Linked DNA regions of Schizosaccharomyces pombe. The gene in region 4 interacts genetically with the main gene of each other region. Each region holds a gene or a part of one and is shown on either strand. Other genes may lie near its edges. The genes, in order: spo20, SPOM_SPAC9G1.07, mca1 and SPOM_SPCC126.01C.

Region 1 (7,508 bases), on a different chromosome or scaffold from region 4:
TTATGATTAAGCTTAGAAGAATCCCTTTTTTGCTTGTTCAGCCCTAAATCCCTAATGACTATAGGCTCTTGTTTCTTCTCTCCATTCAGACTCGGGTTTGCAGCTTCAGTTACAGTGGACTGCTTTACATTCAATTCGGATTCAACATGCCCTTGAGTACAAGGAAGAGTTAATGAAAAAGGAATATTCTGGTTCACTATAAAGAGTCTCTCTTTACGAGCTTTCCGTAAATCATCTTGCGACTGTCCCTCAATCCAAAACGCAGATCCATTTGCCAGCAAAGTCTTTAGTTTACTTCTATTTTGTTTAGAAATCTCGAAAACACTGGAGTCAACTTTGTAATCACCCAAAGTATTCGATTCGGAAAAAACTGCTAGCGGTTGATTTTGCTTCTCAACTTCTTTAAATTGGGATTTCTCACGATCTACTTGCTCATTATACAACTTTTCGGCTTCTTGAACGACTTTAACGATATCTTCAACATACATGCGAGCAATTGGTGTCAATTGCTTAGAAATTGAAAACACATCAGCCGCTTCAACCGGTTTACTGGCGGCAATCGCAATAAGTAAACGATTTGGCAACACATAGCGAACACTTTCATCTTCTTTTCGGGCTACGGAATCTCTCCAATCGTGCAGTGCTCGATAAATCATCAAAGCTTCCCGTCCAATTATTTTAGAAGAGCCAAACTTAGTAAGTACATTTCTCCAGCCATCAGTACCAAGTCCATAAATAGGATCATAAGGCTCAAGTTCATACTTTCTAAGAGATATTTGTTTACTGGAATTGAACACTGATTGCATAAGATTTTCTTTTCTTTCAGCTGATTTTGATATGAGTTCATTTCGTAAATGATCCCAAATATATAACAAATAATGCGTATCAGATTGAGCATATTTTAACATTTCCCGAGGCAAAGGACGGATTCTCCAATCAGCCATTTGGTATCTTTTATCTGCATCATAATCACAATACTTTTGTAACAGAAAAGCCAGACCATGACCCTCAAATCCTAAAACTTTAGTAGCATAGTATGTATCAAATAAGTTTACAACGTAAAGCCCGAAATCTCTTTGCAGCCAAATGATATCCATAGTTGCACCATGAAAAACTTTAATGATATTTGGATTAGTAAAAACAACATTCAAAGCTTCAAGCTCTTCGCGGAGTTCCAAGGTGTCAACAATCCAATCTTTTTCTCTATTACTAATTTGCATTAGACAGACGAACCCTCTAAATGATCTGTAATCATGGTGTTCAAGATCAACGGCTATTTCTTTGCTGTTTTGTAATTCTTTTAGCATATCCGATAACTGACTTTCAGTACTAACCCAGATAGGTTCTGTTTCGTCGACAGAGCCAGTATCGATGGGATTAGACATTTCTGAAACCCATGGAGGATATACGCTATTTTGTATTTCTGGTTCATATGGATGTGGTAACGAGTTTTTGAGACTAGGGTCCAATTTGACTTGAGCGATAATCTTTTCGAGCGGTACTAACGAATGTGGTTTTTCAGTTAACTTCCAAGACCACACAAACTCCCTGGAATTATTAGGCTGTACTCGAAACCTTAATTGAGGCTTAGTAAGATGAGCTGCGTGAATAACCTTGTAGGGCAACTTTTCTTTCTTTGGTTTTTTATTGGCAACATCGCTTGTCGACGCATGGGTTTCGATCGCTGGCTTTTTTAAAAGTCCTTGAGCTTTATCGATAGAATAGTCCTATATTCATACGTCTTAGTTAAATAAAATCCGTTTACAATTTCAAAAATTCACTTACAGCTTTTTCAAAGAGTATGTCTAATGTGTCCGATACTTCTGCCCATCTATTATCTATATCTTCAACGTCCACAATATCCTCCGCCCGACTTCTGTCTACTTTAGAAAGAAGCAATTCAATTAATCTCATAAAACGAGAAGAAACACTTTTTATGTTTTCATTGAATTCGGTATCAATTGATTTATAAAACGGTATATCAACCTTTGCCAATTCAGAGCAATAGGCTGTACTATTCATTAAACCCTTAAACAATTCTGACTCATCCATTATGCTATTGTTTACCCTACTGGATCAGTAAGGTTTTTGGTTTGGTTCAGGAATTTTCAAGCACTTTTACCACACGCTCAACGAATTACCGAACTTGAATATAGACATCGTTAAAGTACGAAATACAAGAGCTATTTTTATATATATAAAATATTTTACACAAATGCAAAATCTTAGCAGAATTATGTAAAAGCAATTATTTATGATTAGTTCAAAATTGTGAAACTATTAGCAGGCAACTATAGAGAGGTCTTTTATAATATAGGCATTCAATTTTGATCAAAAAGTAAAAAAATAATCAAAGTAGATGAATTACAAATTTAAAAACTTCGGATAATCTAGAATGGATGAAACAATCAAATCAGTTGGATCATCGAGCGTCCTTTTTTGGAAAATTAATGAACGATATATGTATTGAGACCTTCTATAAGGATTAAGAATTGTAACAGCAACCATCCCATGATGTTGATGATGGATCAACACATGACTTTCGAAATAAAATATTTATATATGCTTCGATCTATATACGATAATTTCGTCGAATAGTAAACCGTAAGTAGAAGGAAGTACCTGAGATGCTGAGTAAAAATAGAACGAAGACCTTTAAGAACTAAAACGCAGAACAAAGTTGAAAGATCGGCAAAAACTCTACACACTATTACTCTTATCAAAGGACAAACCACATTCATCTATTCTAGCAATTAAATCCCGTTCGGAGAAAGAAGTCTAATTTTTGTTCATCCACTGTTCTTCATGCCATGGACCGGCGTCAGATAGTTCGCAGCCACCTGGACATTGGCAGTTTCCACCGAGTTTAGCAGGAAGATTATCAGCAGGGATTTGTTCGAGCAGAGCACTCTTATAGTTTGAGCCTAAAATATGAATTTTTTTGACAGTTGCCTCATCCAAAAAACCTTTGATAAGATTAAAGGCAGAAGAGAATCCCCAAGGAGCGTTAATTACATAAAACTTGCCCATCCTTTCGGGGTAATAATCTTGACTCTTTAACGTGTTAATACTTGAAAAAAAAAAAAAAGAACAAAAATTTCAACATTTTCAACTTACAATGCTTGATGCTTGACGAATGTAGCTGTAAACCGAGTGAATACTAGTAATACCAACACCCTTTAGATCCATGATTGTGCACGAAGTTTCAATCAAGCCTCCTGCTTTACGAGAACAAGCGGGCTGAAGACGGTTAATAAAGATGAAAAGAAATATCAAAATGAAAAAATATATCACAAAAAATTCAACACAGTAGAAAACCAAAAGTTTTTCTATTAAAAAGCCGAAAAACCAGCCTTATATGGAATATGCAAATCCAAAGGAAAGGTTTGATTATGAGAATTACTGGAGATACATTTAATCATTTGAATTTACTTACAAACCGTTTTAAAGCAAGCATTTCATATTCATAAACCAAATTTTGCATCATACGCTCGGGAGTCGTGATTTGGTACAACTTCTTCAAATCAATGTTACCGAGTTGCTCAACGTATACCGGACGGCCGTCGATGTCAGTTTTATGATAAAATTGAGGGTAATATTTGGAAACGGCTTCTTTCTCATCATAATGAAAGTTTTTGATAAGATCATCAACACCAAATTCTTTTCTCCACTTTTCGCATTTAATAAACATTTCCAGCGACTGTTGCAAATTAAATTTACGGGCTCTCAAAAAACGCAACTAAGAATCCATTAGTACAAACACAAAGTTTCCTGCTGTACAACTTACTAAAGTGGCATCGTCTAATCTTTCCGTGTATCCAAGTTTTTGTAACTCTAAACGCATGCTATCTAGCGTAGCTTGCTGTGTAGAATTCAAATGCCCTGGGTGCCCTAATGGAGCATTTGGATTAGTTAGAGGATAAGGATCCGATATAGTTTCTGACATCTTTTTGTTTAGACGATGGTTGTAGAGAGAAGACCTAATGACCCAGTCTGTACAAGATGTATAAAGGAAAAGGAAGAACGTCAGCGACCTTAATACTAGTGGTCATCAGCCGTGGGGGATCAGTCAAGCGTGGGGGCCTTTTACCTACTACCGCAGGAACCTTTGTTGCCATGCTACACCCAACGCTATTGTTATATGTGAGTATGAGGATAAACTTCAGTGTTAAAAATCAGATGAGAGGAAGAAGCTCCTCGTATGAGGTTTAAATTGTGTATAACCAATTTTTCAACTTGCATGAAAAGTGCGACAAATTTGAGATGCAGAATGGCCTTCAACGAGGCGTTGAAGGTAAATAAAACATGGGGAAAAAGTGACAATTTAACTTTGTGGAAGCATTTTTTCTTTACCAAAAAAAACGAACGATAGATAATGTTTATTTTATTTAAGCCTTTGAGTGCGCTTGTGGTGATTTTCTGTCATCAATATTTATGCACCTGACAGCTTTGAAAGAGTAAACCAGGCACTAAGAAGCGTTATAGTACATAGAGTATAGAATATGTAAATGGATGATCATATTGCGATTTTGAGATTGTTGTCTATGTAAAAACGGTATAGGAGTATCGTAGCTGGATATTTATGTGAAGTAAAACAGTTCAATTTTATGATTGTTCAGTTTTCGTATTATAAATGAGGAGTAGAAAATTGTCATAGAGTTGTGATTAAAAAAGAACTTTAAATAAGCAAATATAGTAAAGGAAAAGAAATTTTATTGCAAATGGAAAAATATTTCGTGAATAAGCAATTTAACAAAAAATACATATTGAAACGTAAATAAAGTAATACTATACGACATAAAAAATAAAATAAAATAAAATCTAAAGAATGAATAAAATAAATAATAATTAGACTAACAGCCACTTAAATATATATACAAAATTTTTTTAAAAACTAGTTTTGTCTCGCAAACGTAATTATTGTTTCCTTCTCTTTCGATCGAACTTCAGCCATAATTTTGAAAGCGTTTCTTCCACGCAAAGTTTAACAAAACATACAAGAGTGAAAGGCATTGCTTGAATGGACAGTCCATTTTGTACTTGCATAAAATTTTCAAGTTAGTATCAAATTTTCTACATGTTAGCAATAATACATTTATTTACATTGATTTTACCTTTAAAGACCTATAACAATATAAATTTTTGATTATTATATTAACGTTACGGAAGGATAGTATAATCGTCAAAATATCGTTATAATTTAACAAACGAATAAATGCAGGAAACAATGCATTACGCAAGCTTGTTACTAAAGGCAGGAAGCATAGTTTGAATATAGGATGAAAACCGTGGATATCAATGTTATAAGCATTTAACATTGAATAAGTATGGTAGAGGTGAAAAGAATCAGTACTACGTTTCTTAATTGGCAACCTTGCACCTCAAACCCAGCTGAAGTGTACTTTGCACACGAGTCTATTACTACATGGTTTTTTTATACATATTAAATAATAGCAATGGTTATTTGAACTGCAATAACGGTAACCCTACCCCGATATCTCCAAGTTTGAAAATTTACTGCTTTTATGAAAATTTAGTTTACAGTTTGTTTTGGAAACGATTATGCTATCAGTGCAGAAGCTGAAAAAAAGAAAATTTCGGGATAGTAAAATTGTTTTCATGTCATTTCCCTGGCGGTGGTTTTGAAAAGCCCGAAGTTCCATTCATTTGAGTGGCAACTTAATTTTTCATCTATTTAAAGGATGCAATTTTAGTACCACTCCGCCGTATCTTCTACCTAAGACATAAAGTTGTGAAGAAGAAAAAAAAATAAAGGTAGTTGGAAGAAAACCATCTGCATAAATTTCCTTTTAATCGCCAACTCTTTACACATTTGGTTGAGTGTGAAATTTTTACTTTTTCTGTTTCACCCTCTAGTTATTTCCATTCATTGCACCTTGTGTAAATATTTTATTTAAAAATTGGACCAGTTTATCAAATGCATAAAATTTAGTACTTTAATCTTTTAAAGCTAATTTTGTTTTTGTTACTCTGTCCTCTTAATTCTCCTTCATATTCCCTGTTAATAATAATAAATTAAAAAAATTTGATGTTTTATTTTGGTTTTACTTTTCAAGTCAATCAATAAATGTCATCCTCGTCTAAAGATTCTTCGTTCCAAGTGGAAACTCCTGTGCAGAATATTTTAGAAACCAGTACAAACTCCGAGCTTCAAGACCAGGTATCATCTCCATATGAACCAGACTACAACTCACCTGTCAAACAGGCTGCTGCTTCGATAAGTGCTTTACAAACACAAGACGACACTTTATTCAACAACGTTGATGAACGTACATTAGAAAATAAGGATGGGAATAAGTCAGATGATGCAAACTTTGATCAAGTATCCGGTATTCCTTCTGGAAGTTTGGAGATACCAATATTAAACTCAGCTACTAGCAACATTCGGTTAACTCCTTCAGATACTTATAATAATATTCCAGTTTCGGACACCAACAATGAGGAAATTTCTAAAAACATATATGGAGCTCCAATTTTAGAGTCAACTTCTTCCGACTTTCAAAGTAAGGATTCACTTTCCACTACTCAACCAAGTGTTTCGGGGGGAAACGGATCTACCTCTCAAAGTCCTCCTTCACTCGACGTTGAGCAAAATAAGCCTTTTTCGATATCCAATGAACCAGTGGAACAAGAAACTGAAAACTCTTCTACTAAAGATTTACAAGTATACGATTTTCAGACCGCTTCAGAGCATTTACCTGAACAATCCTTACAAAACACCACTTATTATGATCCGTCAAAAACTTATAGCTCGGTGAATTTTGAAGAAATTGAATATGGAAAGTCTCATGAGAAATTAGATTTACCTTATAGAACTACTGATTTTATTCCCTATTCTAAAGACTTGTCAACTAGTCCTGAGGCTCACAGGACTAGTATTTATTCGTATAGTGCTAATTTGCCCAATTATTATAATGAGCATAATGAATTACATGAACATCATAATCCCCAGACACCCAGTTCCCCGGAATCTGCGTATAGTCCTGAAAATTTGCAACTTAATCATGAAGCACAAAATGTTGAATATTTGGGTAACAATGCTGCCGAGAAATCGTTGCAAATGAACTTAGAGGATGAACAAAGATTTCAACAATTTTTGAAAGATGAAGAAAGTATAATGTCAAACTGGTATCCAGGGCAATTTCCTTCAGCTTCTCGCTTATTTTTGGGTCATCTAAATACAAAGAGCTTATCTAAACGAAATTTGTGGAAAGTTTTTAAAATTTATGGGCCTTTAGCACAGATAGTTTTAAAAGCAAATTATGGTTTCGTTCAGTTTTTTACAAACGAAGATTGTGCTAGGGCTTTAAATGCGGAACAAGGCAATTTTGTTCGGGGTCAAAAGCTGCATTTGGAAATTTCTAAAATTCAGAAGAAATATCAAAATCAAATAGAAAACATGAAGAAAGGATCACATGTTACCAAAAGTAATCAATATTCTGAAATGATTGGAAACCTTCCTTATCCCACTAGTAGCAGGTAAGGAA
Region 2 (7,067 bases), on a different chromosome or scaffold from region 4:
GCGGCTTTGATATCTCTGTGGATTTTGTTTTGTCCATGAAGATAATTTAGCCCATAAAGGACCTCTCGAAGAATGATTGAAATTACTTGTTCATTCAACCTTCCCATTTTCAAAAGTCCCGAAACTGATCCTCCATCCATATGCTCCATCAAAATCCATAATGTGTATCCGTCAACAAAACAACCGTAATACTGAATTACATTGGAACTGTTGCAATTCGATAACATAAATACCTCTTGTTCGATGTCGGTAATGTCGTCAATACCTGTTTCTAAATCAATCTGCAACTGTAAGTTTTTTGTGATACTAAAGAAGAGTAAAAATTAATTAGTCTTACCTGTTTAATAGCGATAATGTCGCCAGACACATTTTCACGTGCTTTCCAGACAACCCCAAATGAACCTGATCCTAATTTCCGTAGCAGAGTATAAGAATTAGCATTGAGAGGATACATTTCATCAATATTTTGACTGCTCAAATCTGAGGTTGAGCCTACTTTCGGTTTCGTTTTACAAGCACAAGCTAGATGCACCACGAAGTACTTTGTTTATTACTTAGAGGATTATAATGAGCTACTCCGAGACGCCTATTCCAGTAAACTTAACATTACCAACTTGTTACGAAGTATATATAATTAGACTAGTTTATTATAAAGTATCGAGTTTTATGTCTGAATCTACCAAAGAGACAATAGAAGTTTTATACGAAATAGGAACATTGCTTGGAACTGAACTTGATAAAACAACGCTTTCACTCTGCATCAGTCTTTGTGAAAACAACGTACACCCAGAAGCAATAGCTCAAATAATTCGGGAAATACGTATGGCTCAGGAACAAACTGTTGACACAGAACCAAGTTAATGGCAAGAAGTTTAATCTCAATAGTTGACCTCGGGGTTTAGTATTTCTTTTATCTAATGTCTTCTTTAAACAGTGTTCTACCTTCAAATGCATGCGCAGAGATTATTGAAGGGAAAGACAAGGTTCACAATGTAGTTATTTTAATGCATGGACTTGGAGATTCTCACAAGAGTTTTGCAAATATGGCAAAGAACGTTCCGTTGCCCAACACTAGTTATATTTCCTTACGTGGACCATATCGATTACCATTAGATTTTGAAAATCCTGGAGGCAATTGGATGTGGGGAGAGGATGTCCATTTTGATCAAAACGGGGAACTGCAATCTGAAGCCGATTTCTCTAAAAGTTTTACGATGATTTCAAATTTAATTGGCAATCTACTCTCTTACGGTATATTATCTTCTAGAATATTTTTTTTCGGGTTTGGTCAAGGAGCTATGGTTGCTTTATATAGTTGTTATAAATTGTCTACTAAATACCAGCTTGGAGGGATATTTTCCTTTGGAGGTACTCTACCGCTATCCATAACTTTGCCCAATCATCCATTTCATGTTCCAGTGTATTTGTTTGAAAAGCGATTGCATTGTTCATGCAGCGAATATGAAGAATCGCGATTACGTAAAACATTTAAACCATTTCACCTCACATGTTGGAATCGTGATGATAAAACTGACATGCCTTCATCCCCTAGAGAATGGTATACATTCGTTCAATCTATTAGTAAACATTTGTATATTCACAACACGTTGTTTGAAGATGCAATTCCTCTTACATCTTTTTAGAATTGATTTATTTAAGTTAACATTTGTTCACAATAAAGTTAATATTCATTTGGGCATAGATATAACAATAACTCCTCTAGCCATTATGTGATTAAAATTAGTACGTTTACCTTTTGATCATTAAGATTTTCAATCGACAAGATAACTAAGATCCGGAAGCTTATCAACAATTCTATTAATTAGTTGATTTTGGTCAACTGTTTTTATATTTCCACGCCCTGCTCTCTCATTATTAAGAAACGAAGTATTGATCGATTGAATAACAGCCGGAGTGTCTTTAGGAGCTGACAATGAAGTAGAAGGTGAACTAAAATTCTGAAAAATTAGAGTATTTGGCTCAACTTGAGACTCTTCACTTACATCATCAACGGAAGCAGAAGCTAAATTCGATGAGTTTTTCGAGGTATCTTGGGAACTGACCCATGAACCCCATTCAAAATTATCAGAGGTTGGATCCGGGGAAAGAGACGTTGATGAATTTTTTTTCTTCGTTTCTCTAATTTTTTCTTCAGAGTCAAGTTTAGCGATTGATGAATGTTCTTCGACTTCATCAACTTTTTTACGATCCAAACTTAGTGGTGATTTTGGAACAACTTCATCCTCTTTATTTATTGAAATTGTAGAACAACTGTTGCTTTCCCTCTCAATCAATTTGACTGGGGAAGAAAGGAAAGTATTTGCAGATAATTTGTGATCCTGTTTAACAGCAACTGTATTATTTAAAAGAGCCGTAGAAGAAGAATAATCCTTGGGAATTTCATTCGATGATAAATTAGAAAAATCAAGTATATCTGAAGGAACATTTATACTGGAAATCTTGGTCGTAGAAAAATTAGATAAAGGAGACTGTTCCGGTAACAAAATATTTTTGTCATTGATGGGCGGTGTGACAGGTGAATTGGTATAGCTTGCTGTTTTCCTTTTCTGCTTCTGATAAGCTGTTGACCAACAAAAAAGCACATTGCTTTTTCGATTTACATTAGACCGTTCTTGGTTCCATAAAGTCATATGTTCTTTAAGTAAACGACTAATGGTTCCTTGTTTTAGTTCTCCTAAACTTTTCTCATTGTATCCTAAGCGGATTAATTGTCTAAAATTGGTTTCCGAGGTAGCTGTAATACCTATATAATCTTTGGATGCCAATGAAATCCGTTTAGGAGGCTTGACAACGCCAAATGTGTAATCCAACTTTTCATTAATATCTTTCAAATTAAATGTGTCAAGATTGAGAGCATTTTCTTTCCAGACTGATGCCTCCATTGAAAAACTGACATCGTTAGTAATTGAGGGAATTGCTGAATTCGAGTTGGATATATTTTCACTACCCCATGCATTATGAGGATTAGAGGCGTTCGAAAAACTAACAGAGTTCAGCAAATCATCCATATAAATCACATTCCAGTTCTTTAAGTTGTAGATTCTCAATTTAATAATATATGAGTGGATAAAAAAAACGTAGGTGCCATCAACTTCGGGTTAAAAAGAAAACAAAAAGAGCCTTAACTATACTTCTTTTATAAAAGGAACCTTTTTAGAGTATTAGTATAAATGCTCAAGATGAGTTGAAAGCGGTTCGGCTAGGGTAAGCGACTTAAGCCACCACATCGTGTGCAACGCAAGTAGGCAACTTAAATCCGTTCAACGTATTTAGTGTGAAATTAAAAATAAAATAAACTCAATTAAATTTCCGGAAGAAGAATAAATTTTATAAGTAATCATTTTAAAATAGGACAGAGTTTTTTAACAAATTTTAAGCTAGTAAACAATTAATCTAATACTCTGGCGAAAGTTGCTAGCTTTATTAAAGAGGAATCTCATATGGACTGAAGCATCGTGCAAATTTTTGAAAATTACATTTGGTAAATTAAAACCTAGATTATTTCATCTAAATAATATGGCTTAAAGTGCGCATAAATATGGATGCTGGTTTCAAATCATTTGAATATTATGTCTTGTGCAAAAAGCTCTTTAAAAAAATTACAGAAGTGCAAATGTACCACATATTTCAAGTTAAAATGAACCCTTCTAGGACTTCTAACAATTTTAGTAAATTTTCTCACTAAATCAATTATAATCTACATGAAATGAATCTAACATCGCACTCTTTATCGTTAAAGAATGTTTCATGGTAGCCAAATATCTTTCTTTTTTTAATTTTCCTAAAATGAAATTCTAGTATGGTTGAATTTATTACCGATCTGCATTTTATCGAGTATTATTGAAAATATTTCCATTTTTTAATTGTGCGCTAAGTATATAAGTCGCGTTATTAGAAAAATTATGATGTACTCGGTTAATTGAGCTCTAAAAAAAAAACAAAGTTATTAGTGTACTTCGCTTAAATAAGAATCTTATCTTCACATTCATACACAACTCACATCACGTTACGGAACTTCCGCTCCGCTCGTTTTTTATATTAACTACCAAAGACTATAATTTCATTCCTTTAAGCCTTCAGGAATGTCCATTCCTAAACAACTACCATGCATGGTACGTGCTCTGTATGCATGGCCAGGTGAACGTGAAGGTTCGTAACATTTAAAGATGCTGTTAAGTAACGTCGCAATTATTGATGTAAAGTTTAAAAAATATATATTAATGTGTTTTCAGGTGATTTAAAATTTACAGAAGGAGATTTAATAGAATGCTTAAGCATAGGTGATGGAAAATGGTGGATTGGCAGACATATCAATACTAATACACAAGGGATATTTCCTAGCAACTTTGTTCACTGTTTAGATATTCCCACGGTACGACCTGGCAGTTCTATGTCAAGAACTAGCGCTTCTAGCTTTAGATATTCTTCTCCTCAAAAAAGCTCTATAGACACCCCAATAACTTCATCTGATCAAGGTCTAACTCCTGATCTCGTTGGAAGCTCAAATGCTTTGAATAAACCAACCCGAGAGAGTGACTCACTAAAACACCAAAAAAGTCACCCCATGCTCAATTCGCTAGGATCAAGTCTGTCACTTAAGAAAAGCGTATCTAGACCGCCATCTTCAATGTCTCGTACCAACTTAGATGTCTCTTCCAGATGGGACAATACAGCCGATAACGACTCTCAGATTGATGCCCAAGATTTAAGTAGATCTACACCTTCCCCTTTAAGAAGTGCTATGGAAAATGTTCTTCAATCGTTAAATGCAATGGGCAAAAAAAGTTTTAGTCGAGCGAATTCCCCTCTTTTAAGACTTACGAAAAGCACTACAACTAGCAAAGAAACGGACTTCATTCCTGTCCCTCCTGCACATGGGTCCACAAGTATGACTTCTCGATCCAAGCTGGATGATTCAACAGATAATTCGTCAAAACCAAGAACAAGTTTGCAACCAGGAGAATCACCTATGAAGTCTTCAAGAGATATTTCTAGAAAACCTTCCATGGCTTCATCAGTTTTATCTCCGTCTGATTATTTTCCGCAGCACAGGCGTTTTCAGAGTGCTCCCGCACCTATTCCCAGACCCGTTTCAACATTGATACCACTAACTCAAGTTCGGACCACCGCGTCGAATGTTATAAAGCCAAGACCGCAAACAACGGAGCGACCCTCAACTGCTCAATCGTTTAGAAAAGGTGGTGGATTTTTAAAAAAAACTTTCAAAAAGCTTTTGCGTCGTGGATCGTCAAAACGTAAGCCCAGTCTCCAACCAACTCCTCCGGTAAGTTATCCGGCGCACAATGTTCCTCAAAAAGGTGTTCGTCCTGCATCGCCTCATACATTAAAATCAGTAAAAGATGATTTGAAACGTACAAAGACATACACGAAAGCCGAGTTTGCGGCGAAACGGGAAGAAATCTTCAATAAGCTTTCGATGCCGGTATATGAACCATTGAAGGATCTCAGTGAATGTATTGGGAATGTTTTAGCCGACGGCGAGCCAGTGCAGTTCTCTGTAGGTACTAATATTCATAACATGAATTTTAGTGCTATTGATAAACAAATAAGGTCAATTATTCCACAACGTGTCCAGGTCAGTCCTGCTGTACTTGCAAAAAATTATTTAGCTCCAGGACAAACGACTGCGCTCGCTCAAATGAGAGCCGTCTTTATATATATTTCTGAACGTATTACGTTCACTAATCAAACTTTGGACAATGATGAATTACGCACAAGTACACAAGTAATTTCCGAAGGACAGGGAACTCCTTTTGAAGTTGCACTGTTGGTTAAAGAAATGTTGCAAGCACTAGATTTATGGTGTGAGGTTATCGAAGGATATCTTAAATCACCAGATGACATCTATTATACCAGAGATATTAATATAAATCATGCTTGGAATGTTGTTACATTTGACAATGAGGTTCGTCTAATTGATGCTAGTTTTGCCAGTCCAACACACCCACAGCAGGCCTTGAAATCCAGCAGCTCCAATGATTTTTATTTTTTAATGAAACCAAACGAGTGTATATTTACTCACGTACCTGAGAATCCGGACCAGCAGTTTATAATGCCAGATTTGTCTATGCCTATAGTAATGGCATTACCTTGGGTATCGTCTGTGTATTTTACTTTAGGATTGAAGTTGCGTAAATTCAATACCAGTATTCTACATTTAAATGACCTTGAAGTTTTACAAATCGAATTTTTAGCTCCAAAGGATATTGAATGCGTTGCTGAAGTTGATGCTCTATCTGCTTTAGCACCTACTGCTGATGTTTCACAGTGTTATAAATACACGTTAACACAGGCTTTCTGGGAAACTCCGGATATTCGTGTTATGAGAGTTAAAGCTGTTATGCCTGCTAATAATCGTGCTGCGGTGCTAAGGATATACGCTGGTCGCTTAGGAGTCTCTAGTCCCGTGAGGACTGCACCTCATCCTATGGCAATGTCTCTTCCATTTGTACATCATGGCAAAAATAAAGCTCTAGAGTTTGTGACTCGTCATCCTGTACCACATTGTCCATCGGTTGATTTGTATATTAATTCCCCCCAATGTGGTACATTGCATTCTGGTGTTGAATACAAATTTAATGTTTCGGCCTATGCCTGCCAGCCATCTACCTCCATTAGCAATACCAGATTAGCAATACAGACCCCGACGGGAAACATTGTGCGTTTAAGAGAAGAACGATCTGGAAATGGCGTTATTTTTTTCAGCCTTTCCTTAACAATTAATGAAACAGGAGAATACAGAGCTTTAATTTTGGCTGAAAAGATAGGAAGATGGGTAGTCTATGCAACCTGGCAGGCGGTTTAAATAATTTCAAATCTTGCGACTTTATCCTATAAATTTTCCTATAAATAATGTCTGTTCTGTGTAATATTGAAGGTTGATGTTTACAACTAAGTCATTATTCATTTAATGTTTTTAATATATATCTATTACTATTGGAATCGTGATGTCCAAGCTTAACTGTATTCCCTTTGTTTCTTAATTTTAATGATTATAATAATGAGAAAGTTTTAACTATTAGATA
Region 3 (9,996 bases), on a different chromosome or scaffold from region 4:
AAGCCACTTTATCAAGAAATCATCTTCGGAAGAAAGCAGGCGTCCGGGATTTATTGACTATGTGTTATCCATTGTCTCTCCACCTCTTAAATTTTAAGGTACTTTACCTGTTAAAAGGCGCCTAAGAGAGATTCATCCCGCACATACATGTGCTGGTAGAAAGATGAGTATAATTTATGATATGGCTAACTTTAGGTGAGGTTTGCTTTGAATTTATGGAATAATAAATGTAAAAAAGGAACTTTGATTTATCTACTGGATTGAAACTTGTCCTATTCATTTATTCATTTTATAAGAAAGGCAAGACTTGTTTCGTTAATTAACAATTGTCAATTATTAAAATAAGGCTTTTAATATTAAAATTAATTAAATAAAGCAACAAATGAACTCTTCAAACAACACTCATCATACTTAACTATTTAATTATCCGTGAACACTGGTAACAACCAATTGGGTAGAACCGAACGCCAATAGTAAGAGTAGCTGTTTCATAAATCTGATATTTTTTAATAAACTCATTAATAATCCAATTCACCTGTCAAAATTCTATTCCCTCCAAGTCGAGGCCTAGAATGATATATTTTGGCGGAAGGAGATAAATCCGTTAAAAAAATCAAATTATGAGTTATATCACGTTAACCAAAGATGAATGCTTTCGGAGCTACAAAATGTATTTTGCTTTTAAAGTATAACATGTTGGAACTAATTTAGTTGTCCTTTTGTACCAAAAAAATAAAATTATTATAAAACTTCCAAAAAAAACATAATAATAATAATATTTGGGATAAAAAATACGGGGTTTTTAAATTCTAATCTTTAATAACTAATACGACAAACTCATTTGTACTGTATCTAGAAGAAAATTTCCTTTTGAGCACTTTTCTCCTTTAAGTCTTCTTACGATGTACATTATTTGAAGTGACGTAATGTTTCGTTATATCGGGATAGTTATACTTGCATACTATTATAATCTGGAATTGTGGTAATTCCAGTGTTTAAGAACGCTTACTATGTGATCAAGCAAGTAGCATTTAGTTAGATTTCTTGAATACAACCACTACTGGTTGATTATAGAACTGTTAATATAGCTACAAGTATTGCAGAATGCATTTTGTGATTCTATAAATAGTATAACAATAATAATAGATATTCTTGTTTCTTATCGATTATCCCATATCTGATAGTTGTGATGTACTTTATTTTTTGTTAAATAGTTTTTCACCCTGACGACATATATTATGAATCTCAAAGTACCAGTTTCAGCGGCGTTTTCGGAGCAACACAGGGTCGTAGTTATGTCTGTTGTCTTGTTACATACCAAACATTATTATGTATTATTGACTTGATCACCTAAAGAGTTCATCCTTTGTCATTTAGACGTTGAATTGAGTGTTGAAACGTAAAAGTAATAACTTTTTTTTTCTTATTTAACATTATAATTTTTTACAATATCGGTCGATACGCTTTCCGGACATCAAACCACCCCCTTTAATTCTGGCCTCCTATAGCCTCTTTAGCAAAGAATAGATTGAACGGTTTAGCAACATGTCAAAGTTGCAGAACAAGACGAATCCATTTGCAAAATATTAATTACCAACCTCATTACGATATTATGCTATAAATAATATGCTTAACTTACTCACCATTATATCGTTATAAGATATGTCCTGTTGGAAAAACTAGCTAGAGAAACCCACGGGCACGTGGGCCTTTTAGTAGCAGGTAAATCAATGTCAGTATTACTTTGTATATTGTAGAAATGAACCGATTTCATGCTAGCCGTTTTGCCATCGTAGTATAAGAAAGGATGCTAAATGAACATGGACTTTGTAGCTGAGCGCAATACATCTAAATTCATTAGGAAAATAATTAATGAAAGGTTTCATGAAATCATCTCTGGTTGTTTCAAATTTGGACAAAAACGGGATTTCGCTTTTCCCAATGGGTACGGAAAGCGAATTCGTTTACAAATGTTTTAATATGAAACTTGAGATGTCATATTTACATAATTTCGAAAACCAAAAGTTATAAATGTAGCACTGAATTGCTGTAATAAAAAACAATATAAACTATTACTTTTAAATACCACTTTATCTGTTAAGAAATATTAAAAAAATACAACTTCGCCTTTATACACTCCTCGTCCCAAGTTGAAATTGTCGGTCCGATATTTTCACTCATTCATTGCAATATCAGAAGACTTTTGAACCTTAAAAGTTAAGAAACTCATCATTTTAATTTCTATTACTTTTTTACGACATTTTTGGATTCTTCCCTTTCTCGAAGACATTATCTAAGTAATCAATAAATTCTCAATACGATTTAACTATGTTCCGCAACTACAATTGGTTTGACGCAAAAGAGCCCATTTCATATGAGTCCGAAATTTACGCTAAAGGTCTCAAGTTTCAAAGACCCCAAATCACCGTAGATGGCAGACACTGGGAGCAACTGGCTGTTGAGCGAATGACCAAGGATGCCGCCGGCTACGTTTACGGATGTGCAGGAAAAAGAGAGACATATGATAAAAATATGGAATCCTTTAAGAAATGGTCCATCATTCCTAACCGTCTCATCAAGTCTGGTTTCCCCGACTTGTCTACCACTGTCTTTGGCCAAAAATATCCTTTTCCTATTGCCTTGGCTCCTGTAGGAGTACAAAAAATTTTCAATCCAGAGGGTGAAAGTGGATCGTGTGCCGCTGCAACTAGAGAGCATATACCCTATATTATCAGTACTGCGTCTGCAACCAGCTTTGAAGATATAGAAAAGGCTAGTGGTCCTGGAGAGAGATGGTATCAACTTTATTGGCCAAGCAATGACCATCAAGACATTACCATTAGTTTGCTCAACCGCGCCAAGAAAACGGGCTGCAGAGTTTTGATAGTTACTCTTGACACATTTATTCTTGGATGGCGTCCCTCAGACATGGACAATGGTTACGATCCATTCTTAAATCCTGACAGCATCGGTGTTGAACACGGATTTTCCGACCCCGTTTTCCGTAAGCAGTTTAAGGAGAAGCATGGTGTGGAAGTCGAAGAAAATATGTTAGAGGCAGCTAAAGAGTTTGCTGGAATTGTCTTTCCTGGAATCAGCCATGATTGGGAAGACTTGAAGTTCCTTCGTAAACATTGGGATGGCCCAATTGTTCTCAAAGGTATCATGAATGTTCCTGATGCTAAGAAGGCAGTTGAATATGGCATGCAGGGCATCGTTGTATCAAATCATGGCGGTAGACAACAAGATGGAGGTGTTGCTTCCTTGACGATGCTACCAAAGATCGTAGATGCTGTTGGTGATAAATTAGATGTTCTATTTGACTCTGGTGTTCGTTCAGGTGCTGACATTGCCAAGGCCCTTGCATTAGGAGCTAAGATGGTTTTAATCGGTCGTCCCTATGTTTACGGGTTAGCCCTTGAAGGTTCATCCGGTGTTAGTCATGTCATTCGTTGTCTCTTGGGAGATTTGGAATTAACGCTACATCTATCTGGTATTGTATCTGTGAAACCAAAGGACTTAAACCGTGATGTCTTATATAAGGAGGAATAAATTTATGCATTAGTTAATGATCAGCAAATTTAGTTTAATTCCCGTTATACCATTTAATATTTATTTACGCTATGAGTAATATAAAACTACCCATTAATAAGAATATGAGTAACTTATATTAATAAGCATAAAAAGCAATCAATAAGTGTTATGAGAAACTGACTCAAGTAACCAGTTCCATCAATATCATTAATTTCGAGTTCGTGAATAAAAGGAATTCCAGGGGTGTAGAAAAAGTAAAGCATTATAAGCTTTTTAAATTAGAGTGCTAGTATACAAAAGAATAAAGAAACAAAAACTAAAGAAACTATTGTACATCGTATAATTTACAATCGAATACTTCTTCCATTCATGTCTTCGAACACCGTTTCCTTAAAACCCGCCTTCCTTTCTGATCCAAACATTTCCTCCCACCAGCGACCGTCATCTAAAATCGAAGTGATCAGTGGGTCTACGGGGACTTCCTCATCCAGAATAGTATCAGTTCGTATTTCAGAAACACCCATAGCAGGTGTCGAATTCCCACTTTGAGTATCATCGCCATTATTCAAAAGCTCGTTTGTTCCTCTTGAAAACAACTCTTTTGAAAATGAATTCAGATCAGGATTAGACTTCATCGACTGATCTTCCACTATACCATATTCTAGAATACATAAAGGAAATCCTGGAATTTTGAAATTGTAAAGTGACTGTTCCTCTAAATACTGAAAGCGGTAGAAATTATACAATCTCTGAAGAGTTACCAACATTGCTTGATTAATTTTCCAATATTTGGATCGATCCTGTAAAATCTGATGATCAACGTGTACAAGTCGAGAGGAAGAAATGTAATTTTGGTCGATGTTGACAACACAAAACTTAAGAAGCATATGGATAGTAGCAGCAGTCAATATACTAAACCCCACAAATGGGCTCATTATGTAGTTTAAGGGGTCCTTTGAAAGTTTTGTAATGAAATCAGCAGAAGTAATGACTTGATCTAAAATCATATCCATCCATACAGTAGGAGGCTGTTGTCCGAAGCGTTGTGAAACAGAGGAAAAAAGTTTGGATTTCTGCCTCGACTTCTCAGGAAATAAATCTAAGACGTTTCTCAGAAGATAGGTCAAGGTAGTGTGATATAGCAAATGCATAAAAGTGTAACAGGCACCAGCCGATTCTCCGGGAGAACTATACGCCGAATAGTTAGTGTATGACCAAACTGCTCTTGGAGGTAAATTTTCATGCCAGGCTTTTAAAAGCTCAAAGCTACGATGGAATTGAGACTGATTTAGCCAAGGGGGTGTGATATCTTTCGTGTATCCACCACATAGAGCCCATCTTGAGATCTCACTCCACAAATTTGACAAGCGGATTAGGGAACCCGTCATAAACTCCAGTTGTAAACTTCTTTGGTATGGGGCCATTGAAGTGGTGTCTGACTGAGTGTTTTCCGGTAAAGATCCATCAAATAACTCAGTAAGAATTGGCTGATTAAATAAAAAATTAGGTTCCGGACAAGGTAATTGTATACTAGTCTTTTGAAGAGATAAAGAAAGTGAGCGCAATTTTGAAGGTGCCATGTAACCTGTACTTAGCAAACGTTCGACAAAAAAACAAGCCCAATAAACCCTTCTTTTCTGCTCGGCTTCAGTCCATGAAACAGTGTTGGATCCCATCGTAAGAGGATTATCATTTATTTCGTTACCAAGATCTAAAGAATCGACCATACGGAGAGCCATACCCAGTAAAAGCCAGGCTTTAGCGCCTCTACAAGAGCCCAACTCAATTAAGCAAAGCAAGAGCAGGCAAGTGATATTAGTCAGTGAAATATCCTGGAAACGACAAGGAAGCAGTGAAAAGGCTTGGTTTGCGTAGTAATCAGATGCTGCAGTTGAAGATTTAAATCTATTGACTTCCTCTTGACTGAAACGAGCAGCGTGAGCACATATACAAAGTACGAGGACTGGCGGAGCAGTATCACTTGCAATTTGAGACGTAATTTGGGCCTTATTAAATATCCCAAAAAGTTCGGTATATGAAGTTTTAAGAAATATGTCCCAAAGCTGTAATAACTTTCTACTGGTTGGTAGCCTTAACTGCTTCTGATAGTCACCAAAGCTATTAATAGAGTAAGTAAAATCCATGTTAGGAGATGATGGAGAGAGGATCGTAGGAGAAAAAGGATGAGAGCCCAGATACGGTTGCACTATACCAGTAAGAGGACTCAAGGTTCTGGCAGCGGAAGATGGCTTTTTGCCTCGCATATTCGGTCGATCAGGCCAAATGCATTCAACTTTGTTGTTACTGCAAGCTTGACATGATGGCTTTTCACCAGAACACTTTATTTTTTTCTGCCTACACCGAATGCATGCCTGAGATACTTGACTGATTACTCGCCTTTTTCGAGGCACAGCATCTTTTTCGACAGCAGCAATCATGTCGAAAATAAAATACTAAAATGAAGTAATAAAATATTCTGTGTCCTTTTAAACCGTTTAAAAACCTAGATAATCGAAGAAATCCTGCGTTGAGTAGACAGGTCTTAAAAAAGAAAAGAAAAGAAAAGCAGACGTGCCAATTGTCTGATCGTACGTCTGTTAGAAAAAGCTCACGAGCTTAAATCAGAAAAAATAAATAAGCAATAAACGTAAAGGCTACGAACAGTCCTTTCGAAAAGTTTGCAAGTAGAAAATTAAACATAAACAATAATAGACTTAAGTGAAAGAAAAAAGGGGCATCTAGGACTACACAAGTACGCTTTTTCAAAACACCAACATCACAGAAATATTTTGATTAAAAACACACTCGAAAAGCTATAAAATTCAACTGAAGTCGTGGTATCACCTGAAGGGTGAAGATCATAAGAAGGTTACAAAGACCACATGGGAGTAAAAAGCCCATCTAGGGTAACATAAATAAGCCCTCAGTTGTGTTCAAAACTACAGCAGCAAAAATAAATATACATGGCCAAACATCGTTTTTACAAAAAGTTAATAAATGAACCTATTAAATGTACTAGTGTACGATGGATGTAAGGAAATTAGGGCTGTATAAAGAGATAGGTTGCTATAAAAAATATTTCGTCAGTCTACCATTCACAACTGTACCTTCAACTTGAATATAATTCAATCTCATGAGTAAAATTATAAAATAATAAAAAAAAAACGAAGATTTAGTATTAAAAATCTCCATAAATGTGTTTGGAAAACGCTGGACACTGAAATTTTAACGATGAATACTGTAATTTAGTTTTCTATTGTGCTATTTGGTGCTCGTCATTAAGTCAATAACGAGACTATGCACCAATTTCTTGAATCTTCTACCAGCGTCTTCAAACGTGTCTATCTATTTATTCTAATAAATTTCTATAATAGACACTTTAACTTATTTTTACTTATTTATTAATGAGTATTCGAGAAGACAGGAATCAGGATGCAACTATATATCTTGGCAATCTTGATGAAAAAGTAACGGATTCTATTTTGTTTGAGTTATGCCTGCAGGCAGGTCCAGTTGGTATGTAATTATTCGAGTGTTGGTTGTATTTGTGGCTTTCGATACTAATTCATACAGTAAATATTCATATTCCAAGAGATAGAGTAAGGAATAGTCATAATGGCTTTGGTTTCTGCGAATTCTTACACGAACAAGATGTTGAGTATGCATGTCAAATTCTGAATCAAGTAAAGTTGTTTGGAAAGCCTATAAGGGTCAATAGAGCTAGCCAGGACAGAGGAGTCAATACCTTAATTGGTGCAAATTTATTTGTTGGCAACTTGGATCCTCTTGTTGATGAACGCGTATTGTACGATACATTTTCTGCTTTGGGACAACTTGTCAAGGCACCTCAGGTAGCAAGAGACGAGAATGGAAGGTCGAAAGGTTATGGTTTTGTTAGCTACGATTCTTTTGAAACCGCTGATGCAGCCATTGAGGCCATGAATAATCAGTTTTTAATGAATAAACCAATTACCGTGTCATACGCCTTTAAACGCGAAGGAAAGGGTGAACGTCACGGAGATATTGCGGAAAGAAAGCTAGCAGCAGCCGCTAAAAAGAATAAAGTTGCCGTTACTCCTCAGAGTACTCTGCCTCCAGGATTTTCACCCGCCACTCCTGCTCCAACATCTGCTGCTAATACTCCAGCAACAATTGCTGCTACATCGATACCTCCTGTACCGAATGTTCCTCTAGTGGGAGCAACTACTGCCGTCCCTCCCTTGTCAATACCTAATGTTCTTCCTTTCACTGCTGCACAGCATTTCCCTGGAATGCCTGCTATGCCAATGATGAATGTTCCAATGGGCCCTGGAGGTGCACCACTTGTCCCCCCTCCACCACCAGGAATGGTGATGGCTTCTCCTTCTCCTGCTGCTGCTACCATACCTGGTGCTCCTGTAATGCCAAACATACCATTTTATCAAACAATCAATGCACAAAATGGATACAGTCAACAACAAAGGAGGTAAAATATTTTAAAAAGAAGCAAAATAACTACCATTGTTGCTCAAACGCCGGCATAGTAAAATAGCTGAGATTGATCCGTATGGTTGATTTTTTTTTTAACGTGTACAGTAAAAAAAGTGGAAGCTGAGATTTATCTTATTTAAAAGAAATTAAAATTGATGTTTGTTTATATTTTACAGTTTGACTTTTTCTAGTAATGAGTTTTACTTCGTCCCTAAATATCGGCAATATAGTCTATAAACGACGCATTAATTCAATCCAACATATTTTCAGATACATTGAATTATGTATACAATCCAAACGAAAGTATAGTCTAAGCATTATATTAAATATAAGCTGCTAATCTCTTGACCAATATTAGTGAAGTATTATTTTTGACTCGTTATCCCGTAAAACTAAATAAATCAAGTACACGAAGACTTGTGTCAACAACCATATAGAAGTTTTTTGCATAAACATTGGTAACAGCTTCTTATTCGACCCTTTAGAAAACTATAAGAAAGCATTCAGCACAATGCATCTTCTTTATCAAATTGGTTTGTTTACCTGTTTGTGGCTCACCCAATATGTTGGTGCGGAAATTGATAATTACGATGAAAATCTAGTCGGAACTTGGTCTTCCAAGTCTGAAACTGTTTTGACTGGCCCCGTAAGCTAACTTTTGATTTTCAAAAAATTGTCTAACTAACCCTCTGCAGGATTTCTTTGACCCTTTGGATGAGGATTTCTTCGAACCTGAATTACCGGGTATTAGTTATAGCTTTACTGATGATGGCTTTTTTGAGGAAGCTATTTACATAATCAAATCAAATGGTATGTGATAATACTCTATAATATGTAAAATCTTCTCCAGTCAACACCTACAGTGTGGTTGATCCAAGGAATTAAAGCCGATGAAGACGTAACTATTGGGATATACGGACTACTTTCTCGTTCATGTTTAGCGAAATTCCCCAAGTAACCAACTTTCTTCCATTTGGAAGGATATGTTGGAGAGAAGATATTATTTTTCTTTAATATTTTTGCTAACCCAATTTAGCTACAAAGCCTCAATGTCCCAAAGGCTTTTTACAATGGCAGCATGGAACTTATGCTATCAATGATACCGGTACTTTAGTATTAACTCCGTTTGTTGGAGACGGACGACAATTAGAAAGCGATCCTTGTACTAGCAATTTTTCTGTTTACACCCGTTATGATCAAGTTGAAACTATGGAAAAATATGAAATTTCTATGGATAGATACCATGGTCGCTACAAATTAGAGCTCTATGAATGGGACGGAACACCAAAGCAGCCAATGTTTTTAGCTTACCGTCCACCTAAGATGCTCCCTACCTCAACTATTGCCGTTAATACTATTCAAACTGCAGCAAAGCGCTGGACGGCTCCTCTAGTACCGTTAGCTCAGAAGCATACCAATACCATTTGGTGGGTTGGATTAGGTTTGATTGCAATTGGAAGTATTGGGTATTTAGTAGTATCTTGAGTGTGTTTTATTGACGACATCTTCTACTGTTATTGGATTCAAATTTACATTTCTTTCTGAGAATCGTTTTTTACCGCTCATTTATACGATGCGTTTTCATTTAAAAAGATGGCATTCCATTTTACTCATTTCAACGCTGACGAGTTGGGATTAAACGCTTTAGCATTTAAAATTTTTACTTTCTTTTTACATTCCATACATTTAGTGATTCTTTATAGTTTCTTCATTTTCTTTTTTTTTATAAACAAGTAGTTGGTTTAATACAACATTTAAACACTCTCACGTAAATCTTCGTAGATTCGAATTCTCAATAAGTTTAACTATGGTGACATTGGTTATCATACTGTTTATTATTAAAATATTCATTTGTATACAGCCTTTGGCAAATAATTAAATAATGGAAGCTTCCTCTCTTTTTATTGTGTCAAGCAAATTATTTTATGTAATTATATTGTCTCTGAAGAAATGGGGTTTTACTTGATAATACAATACGTGTATTAAGTCGTA
Region 4 (6,738 bases):
CGTAAATAATAATGATTACCGTATTATTATTATTGTTCACAATTAAATATGCGGTTTCAAAAAATAAAGGATTAAATGTGAGGGAGTAGAGGGAATGGAAAAAAGCCTGTTCTGGCAAAAAATGTGAAATCCTTTTATATTGTTATTAAACGACAAAAACATGATTATAGAATCATAAACAAAATGTGAAAGATATTAAAAGTATGAAGAAGTGCGTATGCGACAAGTGAATCCGGTTTCAACCTATTATTTCATGCAGGAAGTTATAATAACAAAGTTATCAGTAAGATCACCAAGTACATTTTGGTGCAATTTATCGATCGGATGGGGTATATGAAGCTTGATGTATTATACTTCATACATATTCGTGACTAATGGGCAGCCGTGTTGATTGGAACTCTTTGAGACGCTAGCTTACTACGAGCGCGAATTCGGTCGCCATAAAAGTAGAGAGCATAAATCAAGGCGATTAAAGGGAGGGAAGCAAAGCCTACGACGGCTGTGGCCCAATGGACGTTCATTCGGCTGAACATTAAAGCACTAAGATGGATAAAGCCGACAGCACCTAAATTGGAGGGAAGCTCGAAGGCGGCGACAGCAGATGCTGAAACATTGGGATATGCATCTGTAACATACAAAAGCATTGCCTGCCAAATGTGATAATCGGCAATATTGAAAATGGTCAAACCGATCAATGACACTATATAATGAATATGCACTTTACTACAAAAAGCAAACATAAAGATACCAATTGGGAAACCCCACACGTAAAACAGAGTCATTATAAAGCGTGCTTCTGGTCGTAGACGATTTTGATGTTTTCGCTTATCACGCTTATATAACCAACACTGTAAAGGCTCAAACCAGAGGAGAATTACGCAAGCAGGCATGGCAGCCATATATGTGCATGAAGCAGCCATATCTGACATCTTATAAATTGAGAAATACACAGGCCAAATGGCTTGTAAAAAGAAATATAAAAGACCATTGACAAAGCCGTTGTATATTCCTAATGAGCTTACAATGGGTTCACTAAAGAAGATCTTTATGGCCATGAAAAAGACAAAGTATGTGTCCTTTGCCAGTTTCTTCAAGCTGAACTGGGGAAACCAGGAAACTGGAAGCCCTTGACGTTTTTGCTCATAACGTTGTATTACAATGGCGGGCAATGTTTCGGGGGTAAAGACGAAGAGAATGATGAAAAATCCGCCTACAATAACATCAATCCAATATAACCACCTCCAAGTCAACTTTGGGTTTTCGGCAACCCCGGTTCCCATGGGTGAGCCCACGGATGCAACGGAGCACATGAAAATAAACATGTACATGCCCCAATTTGAATCTTCATCGCCCAAGACGTCGGCGACAGCTCCAGCAACATTGCCTAAAGCGGTGGAGCCCACGACACCCATGATCAGCATGGAAATGACGAGTTGCGCATAATTACGGGCAAGAGCGCAGGATATACAAAAACACACATAGATGATTAAAGAGCCTATATAAACCAACTTCCTACCCAAAAGGTCGGACAGCGGACCCAAGAACAGAGGGCCCAAAGCGACACCCAAAACAAACATACTCTGACCTAAAAGTGAGACCTGAGACGACAAGTGCCACAACTCCATAACAGAGTCTTGTACACCAGGATAGAAATTGGGTGTCCAAAATACATACATTTGAAGTGACGTGGATAGCAACACAATGTACGCTTTTTTCCACCAGCCCCAATTTTGTGGATGAGCAGGATGTTCATTGGAAATGCCAGCAAGTTTATAGGCATAGTCAGAGATATCTTCGTTCTCTTCGAGTTCGTATGTATCAAGTTTGGCGATACTATTATTGGACAAATGGGGTTCGACGACCGATTCTCCCAGCTCAATGTCTAAATCGTTCTAAAGAAAAGAATTTGTTAGTGAAAATGCCTTCATGAGCAACATCCTTTTTTTTTTTTTTTTTTTTTTATAAGAAAAAGTGAAAGAGGGAAAAAATAATTTTTCTATAGGACTCGACCAAGGATCCTCTGGTACTAGCGCAACCTCTAAATCAATAGTCAAACGCCCTGCATACCTTTTTTGGACTTATAGACTCACTATGGACATGCATCACATCGTTTGTATCATTCATGCTGTGTGAATTCGAAGATGTTATTGACATTTTGCTAATATGTAATGAGCGACACCGCTGTCTCCCACTGACGCACAAAAAGAGAGTGAGACGAAAGGACGAGAAAAAGGATCAAATACAGGAAAAAAGCAATGGTAATTAGTCAAGTTCAGCGAACTCTTGAATACGTTTTGCTGGGTTTCCTGCAAATACCTGCAAAACGAATAATGTAAACAAATCCGGTTAGTCGGAAAGATGGGTTCCCCTTTGATGGAGCCGGCTACCAGCCTCTATTTAAACTTGCTCAAGAGAGAATTTAAGTTTGACATCATAGAAGCGGCTTTTCTCGCTATTAATTTGATTGGATGGGTAGCCGTTGATCCGTGATCGTAAGTTTCCGAGTTGCCGCCGATATCTCCCTTCTTACCTCGTCGCTAAGGGCGGTCTCCAGGAGTCTCGACGACTGCCCGCATAAGAGGCGATCGATGAATGGTGGTATTTGGATGAATGACTGTTTAGCGAATCCAATCATCGATCTGCCTCTGTAATGACCAAAGGGGCGTTCGTCATGTGTACGGGCGAAGCTAAACGCTGCGTGGTATGACCCCATAGGGCGACGCTTCGATACATTAAAGCCAATTGGGAAGCTACACTGAAATGCCCTATTGGGGAAATCGCTTTAATATTCCTAGGAAGAGGCGGTTATTAGGGGATAAACAAGTAGGAGGTTTATGGATGGATAAAGTGAATAAAGGAATGGGAGGGAAATGGCGTCGTACACATCCCGTTCATACATTGACGGCACTACAAACAAGAATTTAACTCTGTGTATCGAAAAAAAAATTTTCGCGACCCTTTTTCAGCTTTATCAGCGTTGATGGTTGCTTGATAAAGCGCCAAACACAAAAAATCATTCATCAAAATTAGTACCTTTTCTGCCTCGCACATACTTCCATGTATAGACTCATGTATCAAATTCTCCATAGATAATATCGGCACTTGGGCGGAAAGACGAAAGGAAATTTTTCCTGAGAATGACTTTTAATTCATCATTGGTGTTATTTACTTTCTTTCTTTTTTTTTCCATTTGATCTACATTTGATCAGATTTGACGTTGGTTTTCGTCGTGCGACAATGTTCATTCTTTAATTACATACAGATAGGTGAATTGTTGTATACTTATTCTCTGTTAAAAAAACGAAAATTATGTATTGTTGTTTGGCGAAAAATTGGGGAAAGCGCTTTTTGCATGCCTTTCCAATATTATGCTTTTCTTTTCACTTCAATTCCCCAAAGCTAATTAGGTTACTATCGAACTTTCAAGAGCCCTTTTTCTTAGCAAAGGCTCTTCTTTGTCGGCATTTTACATTGCTATCTCTCTTTTTCATTTCACCTTTCAATATTCTGGCTATTCTCATCGGAATGACATGCTTTGTTGTCACGCAACTGTCTGGCCATACTTCTTTCGAATTTCAAATTTACGGATATTTACCCATATAGCGGGTTTTCGAATTTATTATACTCATCTCGACCGGATGTACATTTAGTCAGTGGTTTCCAAACATTCATGAGTCATATTGTGTGCGAGGCCGAGCTGCATTCCATAAAGTTTTACTAGGAAAAAGGTGAGTAAACCTTTTATCAAAGACTTGCTTTACTCTTGACGTGATGCATATAATTAATTTTTTTTTGCTTTCTTTTCCAACTCTTTCTTCTTATATTTACTTCTTTAGTTGATGGGCTTTCCTTATAAGCAGCTACTCGCATTGCCATATATGAATTCGGACAAAAGGATCTATTTTCTAACTTCTTGATCCGATTCCTTATTTTGTTTATTTTTTAAACTCCATATTCGTTTAATAATCCAATGCACTGATTCTATACAAAAAAGGGAGCGTTTTTTTTACTGATTAAATGTAAGAATTATTTGCAACAGTAGTTGAACATCAATCGTTCATCAATTCCTCTAGCTCTGCAAGCTCTTCTGCAGTTAACTTGGTAGAAGGGGGTCCCAATGATGGGTGATCGTCTGCTTCGTTGTTGTCTGCAGAATATTCTAAATCCCACACTCTTATCGTTTGATCCAGGGAAGAACTAATCAAATAAGATTTCCACTGTAAAATTTTTGTCACTGATTCATAGTGCCCAGAATATATATCTTTTACATTACCAGTTGTTGTATCCCATACACGAATTTCTTCATCTCTGCATGCTGTTGCTATATTTCCATCAGCTAGAGTAAGAACATCAGTGCATACGTCTGGGTGTTCCATTCTAGTTTCTTCGTGTATACCTTGATACAAGGACCATTCTCTAACAGTTTTGTCTGCCGAAGCTGTCCATAATGCCTCAGAATCTTGTGGATCAAACAGTAAACAATAAACGTTGGACTGGTGTCCCCAAAAACCTTCTTCCTCTAACTGACTGCCGCCAACCTTAGTAATATGCCAACACCGAATACTGCTTTCGCTGCCACACGTCCAAAAAATGTCTGTGTTGGGCTGTCTGGTAATACACTCGATTCCACGACTATGTCCTGTAAGCTTGTACAGTAGGCGACTTGGTTGAGAAGAAACATCCCATACTATTAAGGAAGCATCTGTTGACCCAGATAACAGTAATCCCTCTTCTTCCAGTAACAGTAGACATTTAACGTAGTCAGTGTGACCAATTAGCGTTTCAACGCATTCACCTGTTGAGACATTCCATTTTTTTATGGTATGATCCCAAGAACCAGTGTAAATATGCCGTACTTTGCCGTCTTTTCGAAGACTTTCAATTTGACAGCATGTGACAGGACCTGAGTGTCCCTTATATGTTTTGCAAGTTTTATTTATTTCCAAGTCATAAAGTTTGCATATATGAGAAGCTTCACACACAAATAGTCTAGGGAATTGCTTCTTTTTTGGTGTAGTCCGATCTAGCTCAATATTCAAAATCTTTGCCTTTAAATTTCTAGGATTCCCATTTGGATTATGTGATTTCTCTTCTTTTCTTTTTTCATCTTGCAACGCACTCTCGGAGCGAAAAAAGTATGAAGGATTGTTGGTTTGCATTTGATCGTCGCCGTATCACATAAAAAGCTGAATTCGGTTACTTGTATTGACCATATATTAGTTAGTGCAATATTTATTGAAAATTTAAATTGTTATTAGGCACTTTTTATGTTCGTCAAGTTTCACAAAAATTCAAAGAAATGCAAAGAAAAAAAATTTAGCAAAGAAAAATCGTAATTTTGAATAAACAGCACTTTTACGAAACAAAATATCAAAAGCAATTCAATTAAGTAGTGTTATTAAAGTATTATTTGCTTTAAGACCTTTTTTCTATAGTTTAAACTACAGTCTTTATAATGGTTAGATTGAGGACAAGGTGCAGAACTTTAAGATTACAAATTGACTTCTGAGTTCAAAACGCATATTCGCGCGATCTAATTAACATCCTACTGTTTTCTCAGAAATCTTTTTAAAATGTGAATGTAGGTGTCCGATACCTTCTTAGTATTTAAATATACGTTAAGACTATGATTACTATAAAATATTTAACTTATACGGCAAAAAATAGAATTGATACAATTTACGACTTATACTACTTTGAAAAAAAAATTAACTTATATGTATTAAAAAAACACTCAAAAGAAGCATACGTTAGTGAAGGTTGAATTGTTTGTCGAAAGTTCAGAGAAAGACGTAGTCAGGTAATAACATATTACATTCTACAATATACACATTATCATTTGCGGCAAAATTCTTTTTCTTCCTGTTCCCTATATTCTGAGTTGGTATGCTCAAAAGCTTTTTAATCATATACGCTTTAATAAAATAATTTGATCGTTTTATAAACAAGAAATTTTATCCTGATTCCATTATTGTTTCATAAACATGATGCTGATATTTAATCCTTTAATATTTTCTTGTTTATAATTTTTTGACATAGTTCGTTAGATTGTCTAATAAATCTGCCTTTTTACCGCTCACTCTAAGTCCACGATCCCTGAGAATATCTTTAAGTTGACTAACTTTTAACGCCTTCATATGAACTGTTACTAATCAAGATCTTACAAGATAAATGAAGTACTTACTTTTATCTCCTTGTCCAAAACTCCTTCGATGTAAAGCTGCTTCAGACGATCATCTTCAGCAAATATAGGTTTTCCACTCTTTTCTATTCGAGCCTTTTTCACAATTGGTCCCTGATCCTCTTCTTCCTCTTTTATTCCGTTTTTATCAGAAATATCGTTACGATATTCAGCGACAATATTATTAACATCGCCCATGTACTCCCCGACGCGCTAAAATGTTAACATGGTTGTACAAGGCAACTAAAGCTTTCATACCTTTTGAATAGCTTTGTATTTTGGTAGAGTATTATCAACAAAGTCAGTCGGAATTTCTTCGTCAAGCGCCAGCGCTTGGAGAACTTTGTAATGCCACTGCAAAGATGGGTTGTTATATTTTCCTGGCTGGTATGAACGCAGCTCCATACCACGTAAAATACGTTGCATCGTTTCGATTAAATTGCTAGGCATGGATATCGGATTCGGATTGATAGGCGGGAGACTACGGATATCATCTGCTGTTGGAAGTTGAACAAGAAATATACCTAGCGGTAATTCAAAATCGTCTCGAATGTGAA

What was found.
Region 1: mutations in SPOM_SPCC126.01C (region 4) and spo20 together harm fitness more than expected from each alone (negative genetic interaction), as found in Schizosaccharomyces pombe (one large-scale study listed by BioGRID).
Region 2: mutations in SPOM_SPCC126.01C (region 4) and SPOM_SPAC9G1.07 together harm fitness more than expected from each alone (negative genetic interaction), as found in Schizosaccharomyces pombe (one large-scale study listed by BioGRID).
Region 3: mutations in SPOM_SPCC126.01C (region 4) and mca1 together harm fitness more than expected from each alone (negative genetic interaction), as found in Schizosaccharomyces pombe (one large-scale study listed by BioGRID).

What each region holds. Positions count from the first base shown.
Region 1 is NC_003424.3:605,430-612,937, reverse strand, and holds spo20 (sec14 cytosolic factor family, phospholipid-intermembrane transfer protein Spo20/Sec14), read right to left. Parts: upstream 3,970-7,508; 5' UTR 3,947-3,969; coding exon 3,788-3,946; intron 3,740-3,787; coding exon 3,437-3,739; intron 3,410-3,436; exon of another isoform or gene 3,241-3,409; coding exon 3,118-3,240; exon of another isoform or gene 3,096-3,117; intron 3,055-3,095; coding exon 2,779-3,054; 3' UTR 2,235-2,778; downstream 1-2,234. Other genes in the region: exosome 3'-5' exoribonuclease subunit Rrp6, read right to left, coding at 1-1,727, 1,786-2,052; poly(A)-binding protein Nab3, read left to right, coding at 6,089-7,500. UniProt on the Schizosaccharomyces pombe protein: Required for transport of secretory proteins from the Golgi complex. Catalyzes the transfer of phosphatidylinositol and phosphatidylcholine between membranes in vitro. Essential for viability and secretion.
Region 2 is NC_003424.3:1,979,144-1,986,210, reverse strand, and holds SPOM_SPAC9G1.07 (Schizosaccharomyces specific protein), read right to left. Parts: upstream 3,219-7,067; 5' UTR 3,030-3,218; coding exon 2,004-3,029; exon of another isoform or gene 1,959-2,003; coding exon 1,773-1,958; 3' UTR 1,669-1,772; downstream 1-1,668. Other genes in the region: PAK-like GC kinase Sid1, read right to left, coding at 1-281, 338-454; putative mitotic spindle organizing protein Mzt1, read left to right, coding at 667-861; SPOM_SPAC9G1.08C (phospholipase), read left to right, coding at 918-1,643; cytokinesis protein Cyk3, read left to right, coding at 4,104-4,170, 4,254-6,847.
Region 3 is NC_003424.3:2,982,458-2,992,453, forward strand, and holds mca1 (transcription factor), read right to left. Parts: upstream 6,397-9,996; 5' UTR 5,973-6,396; coding exon 3,879-5,972; 3' UTR 3,553-3,878; coding exon of another isoform or gene 2,329-3,552; 3' UTR 2,276-2,328; downstream 1-2,275. Other genes in the region: SPOM_SPAPB1A11.03 (L-lactate dehydrogenase (cytochrome)), read left to right, coding at 2,329-3,552; U2 snRNP-associated RNA-binding protein Sap49, read left to right, coding at 6,939-7,050, 7,108-8,003; chaperone Rot1, read left to right, coding at 8,516-8,650, 8,700-8,814, 9,041-9,489.
Region 4 is NC_003421.2:2,111,267-2,118,004, forward strand, and holds SPOM_SPCC126.01C (uncharacterized protein), read right to left. Parts: upstream 5,160-6,738; coding exon 4,050-5,159; 3' UTR 3,940-4,049; downstream 1-3,939. Other genes in the region: SPOM_SPCC576.17C (pyridoxamine/pyridoxine/pyridoxal transmembrane transporter), read right to left, coding at 372-1,892, 2,068-2,124; Ku domain protein Pku70 , read right to left, coding at 6,021-6,131, 6,185-6,394, 6,440-6,738.